3 linked regions of the Caenorhabditis elegans genome follow. The protein of the gene in region 1 interacts with the protein of each later gene in a pairwise test. Each region holds a gene or a part of one and is shown on either strand. Other genes may lie near its edges.

What was found. The genes of interacting proteins can lie anywhere in the genome.
Region 2: the proteins of spe-29 (region 1) and spe-43 interact in a two-hybrid assay, tested with the Caenorhabditis elegans proteins (one study listed by BioGRID).
Region 3: the proteins of spe-29 (region 1) and spe-41 interact in a two-hybrid assay, tested with the Caenorhabditis elegans proteins (one study listed by BioGRID).

What each region holds. Positions count from the first base shown.
Region 1 is NC_003282.8:9,930,875-9,936,513, reverse strand, and holds spe-29 (uncharacterized protein), read right to left. Parts: upstream 2,635-5,639; 5' UTR 2,605-2,634; coding exon 2,519-2,604; intron 2,463-2,518; coding exon 2,366-2,462; intron 2,322-2,365; coding exon 2,304-2,321; 3' UTR 2,192-2,303; downstream 1-2,191. Other genes in the region: gon-1 (Peptidase M12B domain-containing protein), read left to right, coding at 1-124, 171-522, 569-749, 798-934, 1,032-1,228, 1,277-1,447; F25H8.2 (H/ACA ribonucleoprotein complex non-core subunit NAF1), read right to left, coding at 2,750-2,997, 3,043-3,286, 3,334-3,479, 3,536-3,644, 3,694-4,074, 4,117-4,161; trmt-10A (tRNA (guanine(9)-N(1))-methyltransferase), read left to right, coding at 4,379-4,439, 4,486-4,682, 4,796-4,951, 4,998-5,267, 5,315-5,524.
Region 2 is NC_003282.8:13,137,175-13,145,869, reverse strand, and holds spe-43 (uncharacterized protein), read left to right. Parts: upstream 1-3,515; coding exon 3,516-3,567; intron 3,568-3,615; coding exon 3,616-3,723; intron 3,724-3,827; coding exon 3,828-3,956; intron 3,957-4,005; coding exon 4,006-4,161; intron 4,162-4,207; coding exon 4,208-4,473; intron 4,474-6,763; coding exon 6,764-6,874; downstream 6,875-8,695. Other genes in the region: B0564.9 (F-box domain-containing protein), read right to left, coding at 7,048-7,257, 7,790-8,048, 8,350-8,499.
Region 3 is NC_003281.10:3,437,190-3,447,704, reverse strand, and holds spe-41 (Transient receptor ion channel domain-containing protein), read left to right. Parts: upstream 1-3,497; 5' UTR 3,498-3,514; coding exon 3,515-3,558; intron 3,559-3,711; coding exon 3,712-3,808; exon of another isoform or gene 3,809-3,856; coding exon 3,857-4,018; intron 4,019-4,466; coding exon 4,467-4,560; intron 4,561-4,612; coding exon 4,613-4,744; intron 4,745-4,852; coding exon 4,853-5,136; intron 5,137-5,189; coding exon 5,190-5,319; intron 5,320-5,436; coding exon 5,437-5,664; intron 5,665-5,829; coding exon 5,830-6,062; intron 6,063-6,107; coding exon 6,108-6,221; intron 6,222-6,675; coding exon 6,676-6,845; intron 6,846-6,895; coding exon 6,896-7,250; intron 7,251-7,296; coding exon 7,297-7,383; intron 7,384-7,485; coding exon 7,486-7,566; intron 7,567-8,246; coding exon 8,247-8,600; 3' UTR 8,601-8,694; downstream 8,695-10,515. Other genes in the region: K01A11.3 (USP domain-containing protein), read left to right, coding at 14-565.

The sequences.
Region 1 (5,639 bases):
TATAAGCACTTCTGGTAAACGAGCAGCTCCACGAATGTGTGAATTGGCTCGTGCACCAACTTCGATCAGAGAGTGCGATACATCAAATTGTCCATATGAGTGGGTGCCAGGAGATTGGCAAACGGTGTTGTTTTCTAGAACTAAGTGAATATATAAATTGATATGTTTAGTGTTCAAAGTCATGTGGAGAAGGAGTACAGACACGAGAAGTCAGATGTCGTAGAAAGATTAATTTTAACTCAACCATTCCAATTATATTTATGCTCGAAGATGAACCAGCTGTACCAAAAGAGAAATGTGAACTTTTCCCAAAACCAAATGAATCTCAAACGTGCGAACTTAACCCATGCGATTCGGAATTCAAATGGAGTTTCGGACCATGGGGTGAATGCTCGAAAAATTGCGGTCAAGGTATTCGACGTCGACGTGTCAAGTGTGTGGCCAATGATGGTCGTCGAGTTGAACGAGTCAAGTGTACCACAAAGAAACCACGTCGAACTCAATATTGTTTTGAAAGAAATTGTAAGTTTTAAATTGACTCGAACATAGAATATTGTAAACTTTTCAGGCCTTCCGTCAACTTGTCAGGAGCTTAAATCTCAGAATGTTAAGGCTAAAGATGGAAATTACACTATTCTTCTTGACGGATTCACTATTGAAATTTATTGTCATCGAATGAATTCAACCATTCCTAAAGCTTATTTGAACGTTAATCCAAGAACCAATTTTGCAGAGGTTTATGGAAAAAAGTTAGTTTATTTCAGTAGATTTACAAATTTCTGTAATTGCGATTCCAGATTAATATACCCTCATACTTGCCCATTTAATGGTGATCGTAATGATTCATGCCATTGTTCAGAAGACGGCGATGCAAGTGCTGGATTGACGAGATTCAATAAAGTTCGAATAGATTTGTTGAATAGAAAGTTCCATCGTAAGTAATTTATACTGTACTTGAATTTATATGATCTGATTAATCTGAATTATTTATCAACAATTTAATACCCGTATACAGAAATTGAAACTTTCAGTGGCGGATTATACATTTGCAAAACGAGAATATGGTGTTCATGTGCCATATGGTACTGCCGGTGATTGCTACAGTATGAAAGATTGTCCACAGGGAATATTCTCAATTGATTTAAAATCTGCTGGTCTGAAATTAGTTGACGATCTGAATTGGGAGGATCAAGGTCATCGAACATCCTCTCGAATCGATCGTTTTTATGTGAGTTTTTGAAAACCTTAATTTGTTCAAAATCTATTCTATTTTAAGAACAATGCAAAAGTTATTGGTCACTGTGGTGGTTTTTGTGGAAAATGCTCTCCTGAGCGGTACAAAGGACTAATCTTTGAAGTTAATACAAAATTATTAAATCATGTGAAAAATGGTGGACACATTGATGATGAATTGGATGATGATGGTTTCTCTGGTGACATGGATTAATTTTTTCGATACCTAAAAGTGTCAAAATCTCGTATGAATCTCTACTTCTCTGGTCTCTTATTTCAAGTTTTTGATTCTTTTCTTTTTTTTAGTTTTTAATAGCATTACTTCGAATTTATTGTCATTCCCTCAATCACCTAACACTAGGTTTTCTACATAGTATGTTCCTTGAAAATGTTTCATGATCAAAGGTTACGGTACTTTTGACTGCGCCTTTTTTTCTAATCAAATATTGAAATTCGCTGAATTGTGAGATATATGGGGGCAATTTAGACATTCTTGAACAAAGTTTCTGAACAAAAAAGAAGCGGAAACTGTTTAAAATTTCTCGATATGTATATCCATCAATTTTGCGAATCGCTGAAGTTTGATTTTCCTGATCGATGTTTGCTCCTGTCCTAACTTCGCTAAGTAATTTAGTCTTATCGCAGGAGAATCTTTTTTGTTTTTATTTTTTAATTTGTTCAGTTCAATTACATACTCATTATAGCCTGAGCTTTAAATCTTTCCTTATTTCCAGTTGTTTTCTTTTTTTGCTTTCCTTGTTTTCTATGTTTCAAAAATCCTTGTTTTCCTATTATACTGCCTTTCCTTTTTTCACTTTTCCAACCCACCCGCTGCTTTCCTTCTTCCAGTTAATCTTTTTTTATTAATTGTTTTTTTTAGATATTCTAATTTTCAGCCAGCTTCTTCCTGCCGTTCCTTTCTTTTCTCTTTTTTTCTCTATTCCACTTTACCCACAAGTTTTTCATAGCACTGCATAATATTTATTAAACTTTAGTCAATTCAAATATTTTATTAAAATAGAGTAATAGAGCCTCGCCTTCTTCTGAACGTTATAATAAAAATATAAAATTCAATCGTGAAGTTTACGCTGAAAGAAAACATACAAAAATTAGAATTACTCGTGAAGCTTACTCGAATAACTTTTGGAAATATTCCAAACCATCCGAAAAATATGACTCCGACGAGAAGAACTGAGAAAGCAATCAAAGAAATTCCCCCAATAAGATCACTGAAAAAATACGATTTCCAGAGCATAGCTCACAGCTGCGAAGAATTTGAACTCACAGAGCCATTCCATAACAAATTGGACCATTTTCCCAGCTGCAGATGAACCAAATTCGGTTTCCGTTGTGAGTATGACTATTCGTCATTTTGATATTATAGCAATTTATGATTTTAAAATGTAAAAATGAAGTTTATTCACGCGTCAATTCCAAAAGTGCAACAATAACAACGAAAAAATGTTACAATATATCCAACAAAGTATTCAATGTGTAACGATATTTTAACAAAAAATTAAATTCCAAAACGTCCGTTGAATCCAGAATGACATCCGAATTCGGCATATGGATTTGATTCGGTTGATTGTGCTGGACGAGCAGGTGGCGGTGGCGCAGATGGCTGCTGAGGGATGGGCCCAAGATTATCCGATCTGGCAGGTGGATTCTGAGCAGAAAATCTAACTTTTTGTCCTCCGCGGCGATCTCGTTTTCGCCCTCTGTTCGAATCGAATCCTCTTGACATTTGACTAGCTGGTTGGGTATCTGAAAATTACTAGAATTTGAAAGTAAATTTCAATTATATCTTACATGTGGTGCGTTTAAATTCTTTCTCCGCTTCATCATCACTGAACTCCACGTCACTACCGATGCCAACCTGAGCCATCGTTTCACCAGCTTTTGCAACAGCTTCTTGATGATCAATGCGACGATTTAGGGATTTAATAGCATCCCTATTTGCTGCAGCAAGATTAAGTCCTTTGAATGGAGTTTTGGAAAATTGTTCTTCTGTAGGAGCATAATATACTTTCATGTCAATGGGTATCATCGATGCCTATAAAACTTCTGTTATATATTTTATTTGTCTACTAAAAGCTTCACCTCTTCACAAGAATTGAATCGAATAACGTATTGTGGATTTTTGACTTGTCCAAAAATGTCATAAATTTGTCCCAACGCATTTCCTTTTTGATCGAAAAGAAATGAATCGAAGTCGAGAACTTCTGTGCATGTTGAAATGATAACAACTGAAATACCAATTCAATTAACATTTTATATAAGGTTGACATTTTTGACAATTTACCTTGACAATCCACGACTTTGCTTACAAAACCAAATTCCAGCAATTGTCCTTTACATTCAATACTGAGATTCTCGAGTGGTGGCATATCATCATACTCGTGAACATTACGCTAGAAATCTAATCATTCGAAAAAACATTTCAAAATAATGAAACCTTACCGTTTTTTGTGACTTTTTTGGCTTCCGCTGCTTTTTTCCATTTTCATCCGGGTACTCTGACTTGTGTGTCTTCTCAATAATCTTTGCGGAAAACTTTACTAGCCTGTCAAACTCTTCATCAGAATCAAGTGCACCGGCTCGTAAATCGTTGATATTTTCGAAATCGCTATCATCTCCAGAAAACTCAAATTCACTTTCAGTGTCGCATCCGAAGCTTTTCAATGATGGAGCCTGGCGAATTTCAGTAGGATTCACAACGGTGATAGGATCAACAAGATCCAAAAGTTGATCGACGATTCCATCTTCTGTCTTCATTCCAATTTTTGCGGGAAGTGTTGGTCGAGCACAGAAAGCAAGTGGCACAGGATTTCGATCGATAGTCTAAAATATGGAATATTTTTGGAATTTAAAAGGAAAACATACAATTGAATCATCCAGATTTTCGACTTTAATTGTTTCTTCCTCCATTCTTGATAATATTTTTGCAATGAGTGTAAATAAAAGAATTAACCTAAAAACGAAATAAATTTTTTAATTGAAAAAATTTTTGACGCGAAATCGGAGTGTCGTTTGTTAGTTTGTCATTGGAGCATGTTTGCATTTCACTGATTTCTCTCATTTTTTTTTTTGAAAACATTAAAAAATATATTCTAAATATCATTTTGGCATCTTTAAGTGGAAAATTATGTCGGAGGAAACAATCGAAAAATTTGAAGATAATGTGGAGCATCAAAATCAAGACCAACGTGAGTTTTCCGTTGCATCAGTATGTATTGAATTATAATATTCCAGCAGTACCAGAGGGAATGTCGAAAAAGCAACTGCGACGTCAAAAATACAAGGTGAAATGGGAAGAAAAGAAGTTAGTCAAACGTGCAGCGGAAAGAATTCGAAAAAAGGAAAAACGAGCAGCGCTGAAAGAATCGGGAGATCTTTCAAAGTTGAGGAAACGAAAAGATTTCAGAACAATGGCTCAGTCTAATAGCAAGGTAATATACGATTCCAGTAATTTGTTTAACATTAACTTTTGAACATTCATACAGTAAAAATGTTTTCAACTGGTAAAATCTGACAATTTCCTTAGACTAAAACAACTTTTTAGCAACGAATTGCTTTGGACATGTCATTTGACGATTTGATGATTGAAAAGGATCAAAAACGTACAGTTCAGCAAATCGGATGGTGTTATACTGCGAACAGACACAGTCCTGATCCATTTCAATTTCATGTTGTGGGGTTCGATGGACCATCGAGAAAAGTAATTTTGTTTTCGCACAACAAGTGTTTTAATTGGTTTTGTTGAGATTTATGATGGTAATGAGCACAACCTGAATCAAGACATCCATCTTCACCAAGAAAAATTGGAAAATTTATTTAAACCAGAGGAAATAGTTTATTTGACTTCTGAATCTGAAAATGTCCTGAGCGATCTTGATGATACGAAAGTGTATGTAATTGGAGGAATTGTGGATCATAATTCTCAAAAAGGATTGTGCTATCGAATCGCTCAAGAAAAAGGATTTGGTCATGCAAAATTGCCTTTAGATGAACATCTTCTCATGAAATCTCGACGGGTAATCGGTTTCCATATTTTTGTCCCATAATATTCTTCTGATTTCAGGTACTCACTATCAATCAAGTCTATGAAATTCTGGTTCATTACTCTGTTCACAAAAACTGGAAAGATGCTCTTCTTTCAATTATTCCAGAACGGAAGAATGCTCAATTGAAAGAGGAAGTTGTGGAAGAAAAGCCAGAAAGCCTAGAAGAAATTGGAAAATTAGACACAGAATCCACCGATACTGCCACGGGCTCTCCTAAAATAAATTAATCATTTTCATATTTTAAAATTACACCCAAATGTTGTTATTATTTGTTAACCATTTTCGTTATTTTTTATTGCTTATGAATTTTTCAAAATCAATTCGGATAATATATTGACTACA
Region 2 (8,695 bases), 3.2 Mb from region 1:
TGGAAAACACTTGCACACGGGGGCGGAGATGAAGATTAAAAAGTAATAGTGAATTGGTGAGGGTATGCAAAAAAAATGTATCAAATTACTATGAATGTGTAGAAAAGTTTCCTTTTTGTAGTAGAGGGGGGACATCTTCAAGATTTTCCGACCTAGAACATGTTCAAAAATTAACTGAACTAAAAACCAAGTGGCTCTTGGCTCTACAAAAAAGTAAAAACCTATTATTAGAAGATACCGGAGGATTAAAAATATTAAAAAGTGACATCAATTGCCATGACTTTCAAGTTCTAGCACACAAAGCGACCCCGAAAACAATAAAAACTTGTGTGGCGCAGGTTTTCTTTCAGGAGAATGAACCTTATTAAATATTCTGCAAGTGTTTTTTGGACAGGGGGGGGGGGAGGGGCAAAAGCGGTAAAGTTAGCAGGGAGTTTTAGGGAAATTTAACAAAATTTTGAAAAAATTCAAAAGTGTCGGCAAATATGAGTTAATTGTTTCAAATTGTAAAGATTGGAGGAATTCAGCGGCACAGAAAAATAGGCGTGACCAACAAAGCCCCGCCTATAAAAAGGTCGGAGCTTGAAGGACCACGCCCAGAGCGTGGGTGGGACAAAATATTATATTTTCCTTAGTGTATGTAAAACAGTTTGGATTTTTTGAAAAAATTATATGAAAAAGAAATACTGTTTTTTCAGACAAAACTAAAAATTTTCAGAAAAAAAAACTTTGAAAGAAAATTCAAATTTCACGCGCCAAGATCATGAAGCTAAGGAGAATGAATAAGACGGGCAGACTCCGCCCATAAAGTGGTTTGGACCTGGCCCGCCCATTGTGATGTGCCAAAAAAAACAAAATTGAGTGATAAAAGCTATTTTTACGAAATTCTTTTTTGAAAAAAAAAAATTAATTTCGCACCAAAATCTTAGAAACACAGTAAGCGGATCCTTATAGGCTCCGCCCATAAAAAAGATTTGAGCCACAAAATATGAGAGCCAACGCTAGCGTGCCGAACAAACGATCAGAACACATTTAAAAAAATAATTTATATGAGAAAAAACGGCGAAAATTCGTAAAAATAATTGAATTGCCAAGGAGAAACCTATAGTTGTTATGGGCGAAAGGAACAATGAGGAAACAGTTTTTATAAAGAAAAGGGAACTCTGAGACATATGGAGGCGGAGCTCACTTAAGCTCACGAGGTGTTATGCTCCAAGTGACATAGACGTATTTGATTACGTGATTCATAGATATATTTTAGGGAAAAGCTTTAAACAATGAAACAATGCATGTTCGTCATTCAATGTTTACTATGCTCTTTTGGTAATGAACTGGACAAGCGCGACATGCTTGAAATCCCCTGCTCTTTTCAGGTGAAGTAGCATTTGTGGTCAGTTAGATAGGTGATAGTTAAGATTTTATTTTCAAGATTTGACTTGAAAAGATATAACTATGTATAGTTTGAGGGATTAGAGGAGCAGGGTTGTTTTTAGATGTTCTTCTTGGGTAGCTATTGTTTGTCGAAAATAAAATATGAGTCGGTGAAAGGAGTTTTTGACATTTTGACAAAAATAGTTTAAGAAGTAAATTTTTAAACACTCCACGTGGGCTCGACTTTTCTGGCCACATGGCAACCACCTCCTTGCCACCCGGGCCGGATGGAATATATCCAATTTTATAAAAATGAGAATGCCAAATTGTAAAAACTAGGTCTAGGTAAATGGCTATCTGGAGTTTTACAAAACGATTTTTTCTGGAATCAATTTTTTTCTCGTGAAAAAAATCCTGAGATCAAGAAAATATTTATTGTATTCTGAAACAAAAATGTCGGAATTCGCTAAATGTTTTCTGGAAGTTTGAAAATTTTCCTGGATTTGTAAAAAAACTTAAATTCATAGCAAATATGTATGCGATTGTTGAAAACATATTCACAGAACTAAAATCGTTTGTGGAAACTAAAAATTCAGGCAGCCTTAAGGTCTCTACCTACACCTAATTAATCCCGGCGGAGGCGCAAGGAGCGCCTCTTCACTCGCCCTTTTAGCACCTCACCGGCTAAATTGAATGCGATTTTGCACACAAACAATTTCATTAAAACCCATTAACTTTTTTTAAAAATTTCAGTGAAAAATTGTGGCTCATAATTTTGAGTGTCAACCGAAAAAAAAAAAATCAAAGTACGAATTTTATATTTGAATTCTGTCAAATTTCTATAAATTAGGAAATTTGCAAAAACGTTGACTGAAAATTTCAAAAAATTTCAAGAATTATTTGAAACCTTTTACTTGCTATTTGGGCATTTCAGAACTATAGGAGCGGTTTTAAACAGATTCTACATTTAAAGGTGCACCAATAGGAAAATAATTTTCAGAGATAGATTTTCACAGGATAAGAAAACGCATAAAATTGGAAATTTTTGTAGGCATAACAAAAACATGCTAAAATATTCTGTCAAAATTGGGCAATCATCATCATCGTAAAAAACGTATCAAATTAATTATATCGGCGACCACACATACACACGACACAAAATAACCAAAAATTAATCAAAAATTCCTTTTCACTTACTCAGACTTTTCCTATTTATACAAAAAAAATACGCGGATTATTACCACCTCAAAATTCTATTTTTGTGAATTTTGATGATTGAAATTGGTGACGTTGTTATATGTGAACAATGAGGTTGGTTTTGAGAACAGATATACTTGGAATATTTTGGAATAAAAATATGATGAAATTATATATTTTTGAAAGATGGCCACGTATATTTGGGTGAATTCTCAATATCAATATGAAAAACTATTCGACCGTGCAAGAAGTACTAGTGGGAGTTTCTGATAAATAACTCAATATACTAAAATAGCCACCTACAACTGCAACAGAATAAATCTACAGTACCCCTAATGCCTGAAATTCGAAAAAGGTATGATAGGAGAGGCGCAAGAGATACGTGGGAACGAGTGTTTCATCGTAAACCTTAATCAATGTCGGCTGCGTATACCTGCGGGAACCTACTGTGCAGCCGACATTGATTGAGTACCGCGATGAACAAAATAGCAGGATTACTGTAGTGGTTCAGCTGGATTACTATAAGGTTAGTATAGAGTTAATAAAGGGATATGGTTATTGTAGTGCTACTGTAGGCTTACTAACCGGGTACTGTACGGTTACTGTACGGTTATTGTAAGACTACTGTTTAGTTACTGTAGAGTTATTGTAGTGGTACTGTAGGGTTACAAAGCGTTGCTATAAGGTTACTGTGGGCGTATGTATTGTTGGTACATGTAACTTTCATTTAGCTAAGAAAAAAGCAAAAGCCATACTTTCTAAAAACTCACACAGCCTGAAACTTTAGGTCTTGAATTTCAGTCAACTTCTTTCAGAATATAAATTTGTCCACGATTTAATCCATGCCTCCGTTTTACGTGAACATTGAAAAAAAAAACCACTTCCCCATTTTTCTTCCACGTTTACACCGTCTTTCGAAAATTATTTCTCCGTTAAAACTATCAATTATGATACTAGCTGTAATTTTCCTGATTCCATTTTCTCAGGCATCTGGAAACTGTGAGTGTTACCTAATTTCTATTTTAACTAAAGCTATAAGGATTTCAGTTTCATTATCGTCTAGTCCAAAATGCACAGTTTTATCCGATTGCCCAAAAAATTTCGCAGCGTGTATGAATGTCACCGGGCTTAGCGAAAAGAGATGTGTCAAGGATAGTGAGTTTAAGGAATTAGAGAGACAGCGCCCGGCACCTCCCTGGTTAAAAAAACCCAAGAGATGCCGGGGGCAATAAAACTTTATTTTACCTTGTTATCTTCAGCCAAACAAATCTGCATTGGCGGCATGCCGGACACCCCTGTCAAACCTTGTAACCGATCAAGAGATTGTACAGCATCCTTGGAGAGATACAGTGGCTGGTGTGATCTTGAGACCAAATTTTGCTGCAATGGTTTGTAACCCTCTTCGTGTAATTTCAGTTAAAATATAGACATTTCCAGTTGACCCAAAAGCCGCTGATTCGCCGTTTTGTCCTGACAGAATAACTCCATTGTATGGCCAAGAAAAGTGTAAAGACGTCGAAAAGGGAATGGTGTATTCTGGAAGTAGTGATCAACGTGGTGGCCTCTGTTACAAGGGGTATAGCTGCCCACCAAGTAAGTTTAAAAAAAAACTGAATTCTAATTCCACACTAAATTCCAGAAATAACTCGCCCAACCGACCTGACATTCGGAAGTATGACATTTCGAACCAACATGGACTGTTTTTCGACGGAAAAAGTGGATACCAAATACAATTTCATGTTCTGTCACAACGAGACAGGTAATTTGTGGGTGATAGGACAATTGAATTTGAATGGAGAAGAAGTGATGAAGCATTGGAAACAATGCGATTTGAACACTGATTGTGGAGAAGGACTCGTTTGTGTTAAGGAGGATTTGTGTCGGTATAGGTGTTATGAGGATCCGGTCAGTTTTTAAGGGGGTTTTCGACTAGCGGGCCCTGCGGGCCCGCCAGTTGTAGGGGTGTAAGGCGAGTCCCCTTGCCGGGCGTAGGTTCTCGACTTCGCCTCGAACCTGTTAGAGGGTTTGTGAAAATTTCAGTAGGTCAATGGGAGTCTTCTTGTTTTTTGAGTTCGGTTTGACCAAAAACAGATGCACCCGATGAATCAGTTAAAGCTGAGTTTTGATTGATTGAAGTTTGAGGAGGCTTTATATTAGGGGAGACGTACCCATATTTTGTATAAAATTGAGTATTTCTATTCGAATCCCGATTACTCACAAAAAACAAAAAAAAATTGACACTTGGTAGAATTGAACCAACAACCAAAATTTCTGCAGTCATACGCACTAACCACTCGGCCATGCGGGTGACACCTTAAACTGGGATGTAGGGAAGAACATTTTCTGGAGGAAGTCGTCTTTCGATTCCGCTTTCTTCAATTATTACTATTTGGGGAAGACGTTCGAAAACCGTTTATCACTGATAAGTCAGCGGAAAACCTAATTTTTGAAAATTTTATTACAGGATTGTACTCATTATTGAATTCCCGAAAAGGAGACGTATAGTTGAGGGCTATATCTTGTACACAGACAGATGTATAGAAAAAAACAAGTTTTAGCCTGAAAATTAAAAAAAATAATATCTCTTGGCAGAGCATTGCTAACGCGACGAAACTTCATCTTCCATTAAATAAAATCAAAAACTATGAATTAAAAATACATTCCGCGAAACTTTAGTGGAAAAAATGTTCAGGGGACCCAGGAAACCACTCCTCCCAGTACAAAATTTTTGAATTATTTTTTTCTTGAAAAATTTTCCCACTGAACTTTTTACAAATTTTATATGTCTCGATGCGTCTTGATGAGACCTACACGTCATTTTTTAGAAAACTAAGAAAACTTGAAAACTGACCGAGTTATGATTGAAAAAGTAGATTCGCAAAGATGGGAAAGTGTGCAAAATTTGGCACTTATTCGTCTTGCTCGGCCGACTCATAGAACTTTTTCCAATTCTGAGTTAAAAATCGTGTTCAGCGTACTTTTTTACGTGGTGTAAAAAAAAAAATATCAAAAAAGATGAAGTAGAACTTGAGATAAAGACGAAAAACTACTTTTTCGGAAAAAAAAATTTTTTTGGCAAAATGTCATTTTTTGGCCTTTTGTTTTATCACAACTTTTTTTCTTTTGCACTTATGAACTCAAACTTTTTTTCAAAAAATCAGTCTCTCTGAGTAGTATCTTGCACAGAAATTTGGAACAAAACCGAGCAAAACCCGAATTTTAATTCAATTAAAACATGCTTTTTTGGGGGTAAAAAGAGCAACAAAAAATTTTTTCAAACTGGGGAAAGCCGCCCTGGGCTCAATTTTGCTCCGAACTTAGTGTCGTTTTCTGCTCCACCGTGGGGCAAAATATTTCTAGTAGGATTTCAAATATTAGAGCATGAAGTCACACGGTTCAGGAGTTGTGAATGAAAACGTGTGTGACATTTTTTCGCAAGCCAAAAAAAAACGCGAAAAAACGCGAAAAAGGGGCGGAGTCTGTACACTCGGCATTTATTAGAGGCTGCTTGGCAGATTAATTTTCATTGAAAAGACGAAATTTGGGGTTCAATTATATTCCTTCAAAAATTACAAATATGAACATTCAGATTAAAAAAAAAAACAGAAAAGCCAAGATGTGTCTATTTTTCGGTTTTCTTTTCTTAAAATCGAAGAAAAAATATTTGTTTTCCAAAATGTTTTTTTACTTTCGGGTTCATGTCGTTTTTCAATACCTTCCTGAAAAACAAGAAGCCTAGTTTTTTCTGGTTTTTTCCTGTTTTTCGAAAAAAATTTCCGACTCGATCTAAAAACATTAAAATAATATACTTTTTAACGGTTTTTTGCAATCAATTTTTTTGTTGAACATTTTAATCTTTTTTCAAAAACTACAAGCCATGCAATAACCCTGTAGTGATACTCTTGTAATTCTACAGTAATCATACAGTAACCCTGAAGTAATCATACAGTAGTCATACAGAAACATATTTCCGTATCTACAGTAGCTCTACAGCAACCCTACAGTTCCTCTATAATACCGCAACAGTTAGTCAAAAAGCCCAAAATGTAAAAAATAAAATAAAACTCCCACCTTTTAATTTTCAAAATTTTCTTTCCATATTGCAAACTTCACTTCAAGAAAGTGTACTTGAAAATGTCTAAAATTAGCAGGCCAATGTTTTATCTAAAAGCTCAAAAATCCTTTTTTTTTTCAGACGATGGTCATGAATTACGACTGGGTGGTGGCTCAACTCAGTGCGATGTTCCTGCTCCCGCTAATTTTTCTGATCAGCATTATTTTTTTTACAGTCAAGTACTTGGATTAAAATAGTTTTCAATATAAACATACGTTTTTTATACATCTAAACAAGTTAACAAATTAAAAGAAATCCGGGGAAAATAAGGCTGAAAATGACTAGACTTTTTAATGCGATATTCGTTACCTGAAAATTCTGAAACCGGGCTTAGGGACTGGGGGGAGAACACAGAAATCAAATTGCTAGGCTTTGACAATAGCTGATGGAGGGATCGGAGGAGGAATAGGTGGAATTATGATGGATATTGATTCGACATAATCTGAGACTATGGTTTTTGGAAAGTTGATATGTAAGGCGAGAAGGTGATGAGAGTAGGCACGGATTCCGAGGACTTCAAGGTGATCGAGAGAGGTGAGACACGAGAGAAGACATAGAAGACCGCGTTTTTGAACCTGGAAATTATTGGGATGAGAAATAACGTTTTGGTCCAATTTAACTTTTAAAGTTGGTGGAGGACAGGGCTGTGCGGCGATTGTTTTCGGCAAACGCACAAACCGGCTTATTTCAATATGATAATCCAACTTTTTTTATCCAAAACTTATACAGAAATGTAAAAAAAGGTTCGTTCCTTATTAAAATGACAATAATTTTTGCTGAAAAACTTCATAAAGGCTCTTGTGGTTTGCAAAATTCTGCTATCAGAGCAATTATGTTTTTGAGCTATTCTAGTTTAGGAGCTCATATTAGGTAGGAGCATCGAGTACAGTGACGGCTTTTGATGATTCGAAAGAAACTGATAAAGTTTCTTACTGCAGTTTGCAAACTTCTGCTATTAGAGCTCTTCTCTTTTTAAAGGTATATTAAGTGAACAATATGTCATTAAATTCAGAACTTTACGAAACACGGAAAAAGTTTGCATATTGCCATTTTTGTTTTCACAGTTGCATTTTGTTTGTGTTTCAAAAACCATTAATAATTACTCACCCTTCTGCAAAAGTTAATATTCAAATATGTGAGTTTCGAGCATCTTGAAATTTGCAAGCAAACCGAATCATCGACGTTTACAATTCCAGGTAAGGAAAGTTGCTTCAAATTGTTGAGGTTTCCCAAAGTGATCAACGAATTCACAGTGAGATATTCACAACAGTCAAGCGATAATTCTTCCAACTTTGAGCAATTCTTGATGATCAATTGTAGTGAATCGTCTCGAACTCCTTCTTTGTTGTTCTTCAGGGATAGATGTCTGAAAATAGATTATTTGATTCTCGAGAGGGTACGTGCGTGCCTATTCTATGCCTGCCTGCCTACGTGCCTGCCTACAATATGTATACTGCTCTTAAGCTGACTAATAGTAAGATTATTGAAAAATCACAAAAATGGAAACATTAGTTTAGTTTACGCGATAAGCCTAAATTTTTTTTAACAGCAGATTTACGAATCTTCCTTGATCTGTTACGGTATCTATTTCAGCTGAAGCTTTTCAGTTTTCCCATGTATAAGAGCACAAGTTTGACTGATAACATTTTCAAAACTTAAAATCTTACCTCAAATTGACAAGTTCTGCAATCTGCCTACAATCCAGTAGATTAACTGAACGCGAAAGATCCAAATGAGTAATTGTGTCGGCCATGGCAACAATATGTTCGAGATCACAAGGAGAGATAAACGATCGTTGCAGGTTTAGGGTTTTCAGTCTGGAAAGTGTGAGGTTTGTTGAATTTCGGTTCGAAAAGAATTGTAGGTAGGTAAAATACGGATTGCCTGCCTACCTGAAAAGCGAAAGGCGGTCAGCGGTCGATTTGAAAGGCTATTTCTGTCTGCCTACGCTCATGCCTACTCGCCTACCTGTCTATGTGCCTGCTATCTATTTTCTGCGAAGACGGATAGGCA
Region 3 (10,515 bases), on another chromosome or scaffold:
TTATAACTTTTAGGACCTCTCGACTGAATGTGGTGCCCGCCACGAACCACTTTGCTCAATGTTCAGCTACCAACTGATCTCAACGCTCAAGGGTTACACCGGAGGCTGCGGAGAATACCAGCTGTCCATAGAGAAACGAACCTCTTGCTTGGAATACACACTGGGCAAGAGGAGAACATTCTTAGACGTAGTAGCGAGTAAAGAGCAGAAGTGCCTGAAAAAGCACACAGTCGAGGGTGACTTTCTGGGACAAAGGGAATGGCGGGTCGAGCTAAAAAATTCGAAGTTCCTATTGGTGAACATCCGCAGAAGGCCGGGCCAGGACACGGGGTTGTTGGACCCAAGAGAGCCAAACATTTTTCTGGGGAACAAGTTGAAGCTTGTCGGATTCGTTGAAGTGGAGATGTGTGGTGGTGGCGAGTATCATGCAATCTCTTGGACTCGTCATGGAGACTACTGGACGCGACACAACGACGATAAAGAAACCGAAATCTACGAGCACCCAATTAACTGGACAGCCATGACCATCGGGCACTTGTTTCTTTTCGAGAAGGTTGATACTTGATCTCTTATGTTAAAAACCAGCCGCTGACCGCGCCTACGGCGCGGCCAACGACTGGCAAAATTTAAAGTGTTCGACACATAAAACACCAAATATTCTTTTATCAATGTCACATGAAAAAATTGAAACTATTACTTTTTCGAACATTCTGGCAGCTAAAAAAATATCACAGTAGCTTGACATTAGCATGTCCCCCACCAACTCTCAAGCCAACACCTCTTCAAAAGCATAAAAGTCAATTTTTCCTGAACAACGGTAACCCTACAGTAATTCCCCAATACCCCTACAGTACCTTGACATCATCCCCCACCAACTCCTCAGCTCCCGCCAACATGATATCAAACACGAATCTCTCTCACCACGATGGGTCTGGCAACGAAGGGTCTCACCACGAAAGGTCTCACCACGAAAGGTCTCACCACGAACAACGGGTATCACCACGAAAGGTCTCACCACGAATGGTCTCACGACGAAAGCTCTCACCACTATGGGTCTCACCACGATGGGTCTCGCCACGAAGGGTCTCACCACGAAGGGTCTCACCACGAAAGGCCTCACCACTATGGGTCTCACCACGATGGGTCTCGCCACGAAAGGTCTCACCACGATGGGTCTCACCACGAATGGTCTCACCTAGAATGGTCTCACCACGATGGGTCTCGCCACGAAGGGTCTCACCACGAAAGGTCTCACCACGAAGGGTCTCACCACGAAAGGTCTCACCACTATGGGTCTCGCCACGAAAGGTCTCATCACGATGGGTCTCACCACGAATGGTCTCACCTAGAAAGGTCTCACCACGATGGGTCTCGCCACGAAGGGTCTCACCACGAAAGGTCTCACCACGAAGGGTCTCACCACGAAGGGTCTCACCACGAAAGGTCTCACCACGATGGGTCTCGCCACGAAGGGTCTCACCACGAAGGGTCTCACCACGAAAGGTCTCACCACTATGGGTCTCGCCACGAAAGGTCTCATCACGATGGATCTCACCACGAATGGTCTCACCACGAAGGGTCTCACCACGAAAGGCCTCACCACTATGGGTCTCACCACGATGGGTCTCGCCACGAAGGGTCTCACCACGAAAGGTCTCACCACGACGGGTCTCACCACGATGGGTCTCACCACGAAAGGTGAATTCCACGGGAATTCAATAACCGCCAAATTATTTTCAAAAAATTAGAATTTGAATTCCCGCCAAAATTTTATCTTTTTTTAATTTTTATTTTCAAATTTTTCCTAACTGCCGTAATCCTACAGTACTACTACAGTACCTTGACATTATCATCTACCAACTCCCAACCCAATATCTCTTCAAATGCTTAAAACTCAAATTTTTCCTAACTACAGTAACCCTACCGTAATCCTACAGTACTACTACAGTACCATTACAGTACCTTGACATTATCATCCACCAACTTTCAAGCCAACACCTCTTCAAAAGTTTAAAATTCAATTTTTCTTAAACTACAGTAACCCTACAGTAATCCTACAGTACCCCTACAGTACCACTACAGTACCTTAGCATTATCATCCACCAACTTTCAAGCCAACACCTCTTCAAAAGTTTAAAATTCAATTTTCCTGAAACTACAGGAACCCTACAGTAATCCTACAGTACCCCTACAGTACCACTACAGTACTTTGACATTATCATCCACCAACTTTCAAGCCAACACCTCTTCAAAAGTTTAAAATTCAATTTTCCTTAAACTACAGTAACCCTACAGTAATCCTACAGTACCCCTACAGTACCCCTACAGTACCACTACAGTACTTTGACATTATCATCCACCAACTTTCAAGCCAACACCTCTTCAAAAGTTTAAAATTCAATTTTCCTTAAACTACAGTAACCCTACAGTAATCCTACAGTACCCCTACAGTACCCCTACAGTACCACTACAGTACCTTGACATTACCATCTACCAACTTCCAAGCCAATACCTCTTAAAATGTTTAAAAATCAATTTTTCCTAAACTACAGTAACCCTACAGTAATCCTACAGTACCCCTAAAACACTACAGTACCTTGACATTTTAAATTGATATGACACATTTAAATTAAATTTTGAATTCCCGCCAAAATGGTTTCAAAAAATTAAATTTTGAATTCCCGCCAAAATGTTTTCAAAATTTAAAATTTTGAATTCCCGCCAAAATATTTTCTCAGAAAATTTGAATTCCCGCCAATTTGTGATGACGTCACAAAAGGGGCGGGGCCTATGTGACCCCTCTTGTGTGATTGAGACTACAAACTACAGAGTTCAAAGACCAAAGATCAAAGATCAAACTACATAGGGACAGAACGACACGCGCTTTATATATAGTAAATTGATTATGGCAATAAAATAAAGTTTCTTAATAATTTTTTGGATTGGATTGTAAACAATTTTATTATCTCAAACAAACCAGATTTTTCATGGATTTAACTGGATCCAAGGGTCTCGATGATCTGCTGGTATTGAGCGATCTTTGGGGCGGCATTCTTCTTGGCTTGAACGGTTCATTCTAAGTATCTTATTTTATTCAGCGATTTCGTACACCTGCACCATATGTGGCCATCGAGACGCAGAAGATGACTGAGACTGAAGAGACTGGAGAATTTGATCATGTTACTGTGCGCGTCACTGCTATAGAGCCCAAGAAAATGCTCTCTTTTTTCTAGTACTGAATAGTAGTTTGATTGAAAATCTCCTGACTGGGCAATTTTCGGTTTGTACGGTGGAGCGCGTTTGCGTTCATCTAGATTTTGAAAAATATAAAAGATAAACTAAAAAAAAAGTTTCCCGTGTTCCAATAAAAAACGAAACATTTTAATTTTTGAATTGGCGTGAACTTTTTTCTACCGCCGCTATATTCTGGATTGAGGGGGGAGGGATACGTGGAAAAAAATGTCGGAGTGAAAAAAAATCAATATATTTATTTCAAGGTTTTCGTTTTCCAAAAATGGTGGGAAAGGAAAAGAAGGAATCTACGAGGCTAAAATTAAGGTGAGTGCTTTCAATCGCCTTGCAAGGATCCTTGGAAATGGGAGAATGGCCGTGCGAAACCTCTTCCACGGCGCCAACCATCGGGTACTGTAGACGAGATGTTTCGCTCGTGTCAGGACCCAAGTTTTCATCAACAAATTTACATTTTTTCAGCGCAATAAAAGAGTATCTTGGAAAATATAGAGGTGTAGACGCAGACAATAATGAAGGATACGATGGTCATCAGAAATGGCATGAAAATGATCAAGTTGTACGCAGGACTTTATCAGATTTTACAGGACAAATAGATAAATTTCAGGTTCTGCAAGCCATGGCCTACTTCTATAAGGCTGTGAAAAGCAAATTATACTCTGAAGTACGATCTTTTTTGGGCATTTTGCTTCCACATGGCCCGGACGATGGTCGCCTTTCTTCTCTTCAAAGTCTTCTAATGGATACATCTTCTGAAGAATCTCTTAAAGTTCGTCAACGCCTGAAAGACCGCTAAAGGCCGGCCTAAGCCGGCCCACCTACCGCCTACACCCTAAAGACCCTCTAATGGCCCGATAACGGCCCGCATACGGCAGCCAACGCCTAAAGGCCTAAAGGCCCGGTAAGGCTGGCTATCCACCGACGAAAGCGTACGTCCGCCTACGCATACCTACGCCCGCCTACTTTGCCTATATCCACCTACGAACGCCTGCACCCGCCTACAACGCATACACTCGCCTACATCCGCCTACGTCCGCGTACGCCGGCCTACACCCCTGAAAGACCTCTCAAGACCAGGTAAGGTTTGCTAACGCCCGCCTACACTCGCTTATGACCGCCTACGACCGCCTACTTTGCCTACATCCACCTATGATAGCCTGCACCCGCCTACAACACATACGCTTGCCTACGTCCTGTAACGCCCTTTTGAATTACAGGAAGCTCTTCTATTATCGATTGCCGTCGGAAGTCGTCCACTAGTCGAGTTTGTTCTCGTACTTTTCGTCGATGCACCATACCTTGAAAGAAGTGGTAAGTGTGAGGAAGTTTGTATTAAAGCGCATTTGCATCACACTAATTTCAGGATCTGCTAATTCTCCACATTTTCCACCACATATGACTCCACTGATGCTGGCATGCATTTTGAATAATTTTTCGATTGTTCAGTGTCTTATAACTAGAGGACATTGTATTCAGATACCACATTTCATTACTTGTGAGTTCAAACATCATATTTGACGCGCAAACATTGCAAAAGAGCGAACATGCGTCGGTAGGACCGAATGCACCATATTCTACGCGCAAAAATGGTAAAGTGTTGCAGGTGAATGCAAAACCTGCAAACGGGAAACCGTAACAACCCACTCATCAACTCGCCTCGTCGACGTCATGCGTGCACTGTCCTCTGAAGCCTACCTGTGGCTGGCAACTGATGACGTGTTCGCTGCCACGTGTGCTGTCGCCCGAGACCTTCAACAATTGGCGAGCGATGATCAGCTGGAATACGTGGAAACCTATCGAGACCTCGAGATGAATGTGCAACGGTTTTTGTGCAGAATTTCAGATCAAGCATGGAGAGTCGACGAGTTCAATATGATGGTTGCTAATGTAAGAATTTGTGTTAAATTTTAGATATTGGGAGAATTTAAATTGAATTTCAGAGAAACTACTGCCCGGAAAGAATGACTGAAATCTCATCACCGCGTCTTCAAATGGCTATGGATTCTCAAATGAGACAATTCACGTGCTCCACCAATTCACAGACAACTATTAAGTCTGTCTTCAGATCAGGTAACTGTTTTTGAGGGTGAAGTCCTGAGGCGAGCCGTAGGCGATGATGAGGCGTAATCGTGCCTACCTACCATAGACTTTCTAATGGCCTTATAGCTGACCTCATACACTTTTCAGACTGGTACAACTATGGAATCAAGCCAAAACGAGATGCTTGGCGTTTTCTGCGAGCCTGTATCCTGATGCCATTCCTTGTGATGCTTCATGCATTTATGCCAACAAAGGGTACAACAATGTGCGTTCCACTTGCTCGATTCATTGCTCACATCACAATGTACTTGGTCTTCCTCATCGCCGCAATTCTCCGTCCAACAATCGGTTTCTACTTTGCATGGACTGATAGTAGTAAGTGGATTTTGAATTTTCATAGTTAAAAGCTTAGGTTTAGGTTTAGGTTTAAGCTTAGGCTTAGGGTTAGGCGTAGGCTTAGGCTTAAGGTTTCACCTTAGGCTTCGGCTTAAGATCGGGCTTAAGCTTACAACATTTTTTGTGAAATTGAAATTTTTTCAGTTGAAGTAACTGTACAAGCACTCGAAATCTTCATGTACGCCTATGTGATGGGATTAGCTCTGGAGAAGGGAATTCTATTCTATAGAGTCGGACGAGATGGATTTTTTGCCTTCTGGTGGAGATGGTTCGATGCGGCTTTGATCTTTATTTTCTTGTTTTCACTGATATTTTTTACTGGAAAATGGGGAAAACGAGAAGCTTTCGATCCGAGTTCCGTTGACAGAATGCACTGGGTTCGGCTGAAATCTTTTGAATAATTAATTAGTTGAAATTTTCAGCCATCTTTCGAATTCTCACTTCTCCATGAGATATGTCTTGCGATCGCCTGTGTGCTGAGTATTTTAAAATGTTTTTACTATGCTCAGATGATGAAATCAATCGGTGGATCTGTTGTAAGTGGAGTTTGCGCGTAGAATTCGATGTTTTGACCGCAAAAACAAAAAAAGTCTCTTGAGCTACATAGGCAGACAGCCTGCCCAGATACTTACCTACTGTCTATTGTGTGTGCTTTGGCAGCGGGAAACTGAATATTTTCAAGTCATCGTACCGCTACAGTATCCCTACAATACTACTACAGTGCCCAACACAGTAATCCTAGTAGTCCTACAGTGCCATTACAGCAAGTATACAGTGGTTATACAGTAGTCCTACAGTCCTCCTACACTACTCATTCATATGTCTAATACTAAGTTGTTCCCAAATTAAAATAATCCTACAGTGCTACTACAATAATCTTACAATAGTCCTACAGTAATCCTAAAGTAATCCTACACTCGTTCCACAGTAATATCACAGTAATCCTACAGTACCACTACAGTAGTCCTACAGTAAACTTAATTTTTCCAGATATCTGTCGGAAAATGTGTTGGGAAGACGTACACATACATACTCATCATGGTCGCAATCATCGTTTCGTTTTCTGTTGGATTGAATATTATCGTCGACCCATACTTGAATCGAAGTACCATGAAAATAGGAGATCAGGATTATACAAAGACCACGGATTCTTATGAAACGTCAGTTCTTTTTTTCTATATTTTATCTGAGACAACATATATATTTTCAGAATTGGAACATCCTCTAAAAACCTGTTCTGGTCAATTTTCGGTTACTTGGGACCCTCAACATTCACTACAGTTGTTGGAAACACTGGTCCAAACATGGATCCTGTGAAACATACTTTGAACTCGTCAACTTTCGAAATTCTCGCTGCTGTTTATCACGGAATTCTGATAATTACAGTACTCAATTTGATGACATCGATACTTGTGAAAGGAGCTGATGAGGTGTTGGATAATGAGGAAATGGAGTTCAAATTCACACGAGCAGCTATTTATTCCGAGTTTCTCTCGTGGGAAATGGCGGCTCCGCCACCGCTTAATTTGATTCTTGTAGTTGCTCATTTTGTGCATCGGAATTTGGTACGTTGAATTCGAATTGGAATTTTTCAAAAACCTCTGCTTTCAGCTCAAGAGATACTATGCTTCACCGGCGTGGGGCGAGAAGCCGGCAAATGATGATGTTGAGGATCAGGCAGCAGATGAGCAGTACATGGTGAGTCTGAAGCTTGAGTTGTAGGCAGGCACGCCTACCTACGAACCTGCCTGCTGCCTATTTGTACAATGAGCTGACACATAAAATTTTGTGTATTTTCAGCAACTTCTGATGGTGGTTTTCGCTCGATTCGTTGCTTCCAAGGAGTGCAAGTACAAGTCGATTTGGAGATCCGAATTTCATGTAAGCTTGGCTAGGCGTAGGCAGGCATGCGGTATACTGTAGGTCTGGAAAGAAGTTTACGCGCATTTGCACCAGCCTTTGAAAATTTCGAAACCATTTCATTTACTATATATAAAGCGCTTATTCTGTGTGTCCATAGTTTGTAGTCTATGTAGTCTTTGTAGTCTGTGAAGTTTTGGCTTCTGTGGGGATAGTGAGTTGGGGTTAGTGTAGGGATATAGTCGGGGTACTGTAGTGGTACAATAGTGGTACGGTAGGAATACTGTAGGGTTACGGTAGTTTCAGAAAAGTTAGTTTTCAGCCCCAGAAGTCGGGGGCCGCGCCGGAGGTGCGGTCCACGGCTGGTTTAGGAATAACATTTTTGGGTTTGTTGAGCTTTTCATGCAGGCCTGGGTACTAGAGGGGTGGGCCTTAAAGTCAGGCAGGCACCTCAAACATGCCTGCCTGTGCCTACCTTAAGTTTGGCTGCCTATTTACGTGACTTATACAAGTATGCCTCAAAGTCTACGTGCCCCCCTCAACTCTGCGTACCTGCCTACGTGCCTGCCTACCGCCTATTTCCGATTGTAGTCTGAAAACGTCTACCGACGACCGTATCTAACTCAGTTGGTACTTGTGTAGACATAAGGCAGGCGTAGGCAGGCAGGCATGCATTTCCATATAATTTATGGAATTTTCAGAGAGAGGAAAAACAACCGCCTCGAGTGACATTCCTCACAACCGGAGCCCATTCCTTCCTTATGGACAACACTTTCGAAGGATTCAAAATGAGGTCATCTCGAACCATGGAAGCTGAAGGATACAAGGAATACACCACTGTCCAGTATTATGTGCCTAAGAGTAAGACACCGGGTCCAGCTGCTGCAGCTGATGCAGGAACTAAAGTGGCTCCGAAGGATGACAAACCTCAAAACAACCCGGTTCTAGCTAGAACTGGAATCGATTCTCCAGTTCCATCTTCTAAACAGGTTATGTCTTCGGAATTATCTGCTAGCATTCCGAGAGCTCGCGACGTCACATTCCTCGGTGTCTGAAGCAATCGGAGTTTTTGTTTTAAGCGGAAAATATTAATTATGTATCCATTGTGTTTATTATGACTTCGAACTGAAATAAATCGAGAAATTGGAACTTTTGTGATTTATTTGCTATTCAATTCTGATAGATAAAATACAGCAAAGCACGAGCAGGAGGTAGGCAGGCAGGTGGGCAGGCAGGCGAGCTAACAAGCAGCTTCGATGTGATGGATCGGCAAGCTGGGAGGTAGGTAGGTTTAAGATCAGTAAGAAATAGACAAACAGGCTCAAGATAGGCAGGCGAACAGGTAGGCAGGCCGGCTTCAGATAAGCATATATGCAGCCAGTTGATGTTAGGGATGTCGGCAGACTTGAGATAGGCCCTTCATGTAGGCATGTAGGCAATCATAAGGTATGCATGTACGCAACAATACCCATACATGTTCCTCTAACTATACGTATTCCCCATCATATCATCATCACCCGATTCAAATAGTTCCCATTCCAGTTCCAAATTGCTGTCGTCGATCATCGATGAATCCGCCCTTCCAACTTTTGTTACAGCCTCCTCTTGGCTTCGCAAGTCAATAATTATGATCGTAAACGATTGGAAATGGATTTGAAAGAGAGATAGAAAGGGGAAGAACAGAGAAATCAAAGTGATAATATGATAAGAAAGACAGAGAAAGAATACCCCCTCTCAGCTAAATGAAGGAAGCAATCGAAGAAGAATTATTCGATATGGATCATTTTCCACCGCAGTTTTATTATGTGTTTATGTTCATTTTATGTGCCTACTTTATGCCTACCTGCCGAGCGCCTGCCTACTTTATACCTGCCCTAGTTATGCCTAATGCTAACCTACCTACCGCTTATTGTCTTTGCTTTTGCATGTATATTGTAGCTTGTAGGCACACATGTCTACCTGTTAAAACAATCGTGGCGAGACCCATAAACAAAAGTGCGTGTGCCTGCCATCTGCCCTGATTCAATGAAACTTTCCCACACAAAAAAAAATTTTAAAAATGTTTTCAAAATATGCCCATCTTCCAAACATTCGTCTCCTGACACATGTTCTTCGTGTCTACCAAAATGATTTGATAAACGATTAGTGTCAAGTTCAAAGTGTGGAGGTTAAAGATGAAATCTATTTGCCAATTTGTTGTATAATATCAAAAAAAATAGGAAATTGTGAAACTAGGAACAAAAAAATCTAAAAATTCACTCTTCAAAACTGGAATTTTTTGCTAATTATTATCAAATTCGAATTCTCCGCAATTTTTTACCCTTGAAACATTTTTTCTGAAACACTAGCTCATAATTTGATTTTCGCAGGTAGCCTCAATAGTACGCAAACACCACATCTTACGACAAAATGCACAACTTAGCGGTTTTAGAATCCGATCTATGAAAATCAATGGACAGGGGTAAAAAATAGTGAGGAATTCGGATTTTGTAGTGAAAATCGGCGAAAATCAGAACTTTTTTGACTTTCGTGCAGTACGGTAGCCCCAAAAGTACGCAAATACCATATCTTGCGACAAAATGCACAAGGTTTGTTGATTTTTGATTATCATATAGTTATACATCTCTACTTCCTCTGCTCTAACTTTGTTTGACCAAAAGAGTATTCCCATGAGAACTCTCTCAACAATATTCCCATTGCCCCCCCTTCACTTCGCTACTTTTCCACCCATCTAATCCATGTCCATCAATTGTCGATGACGTGTTCCCATTCTCAGTTTCATCTTTTTTCACCAAAAAAAAAGAGAAGAGAAGAAGAAGAATTCCCAAATGGCATGGAAAATGGGATTTTTGAGTATAGGCGGAGTGGGGAGGGTTTCCCGCTGATGCTGCTGCTAGTTACCACAAAACAGAAATGTTTCCATTTTTGTCTATTTTAGGCAAGGCAGGCACGTCCTTGACTACCTGCCTT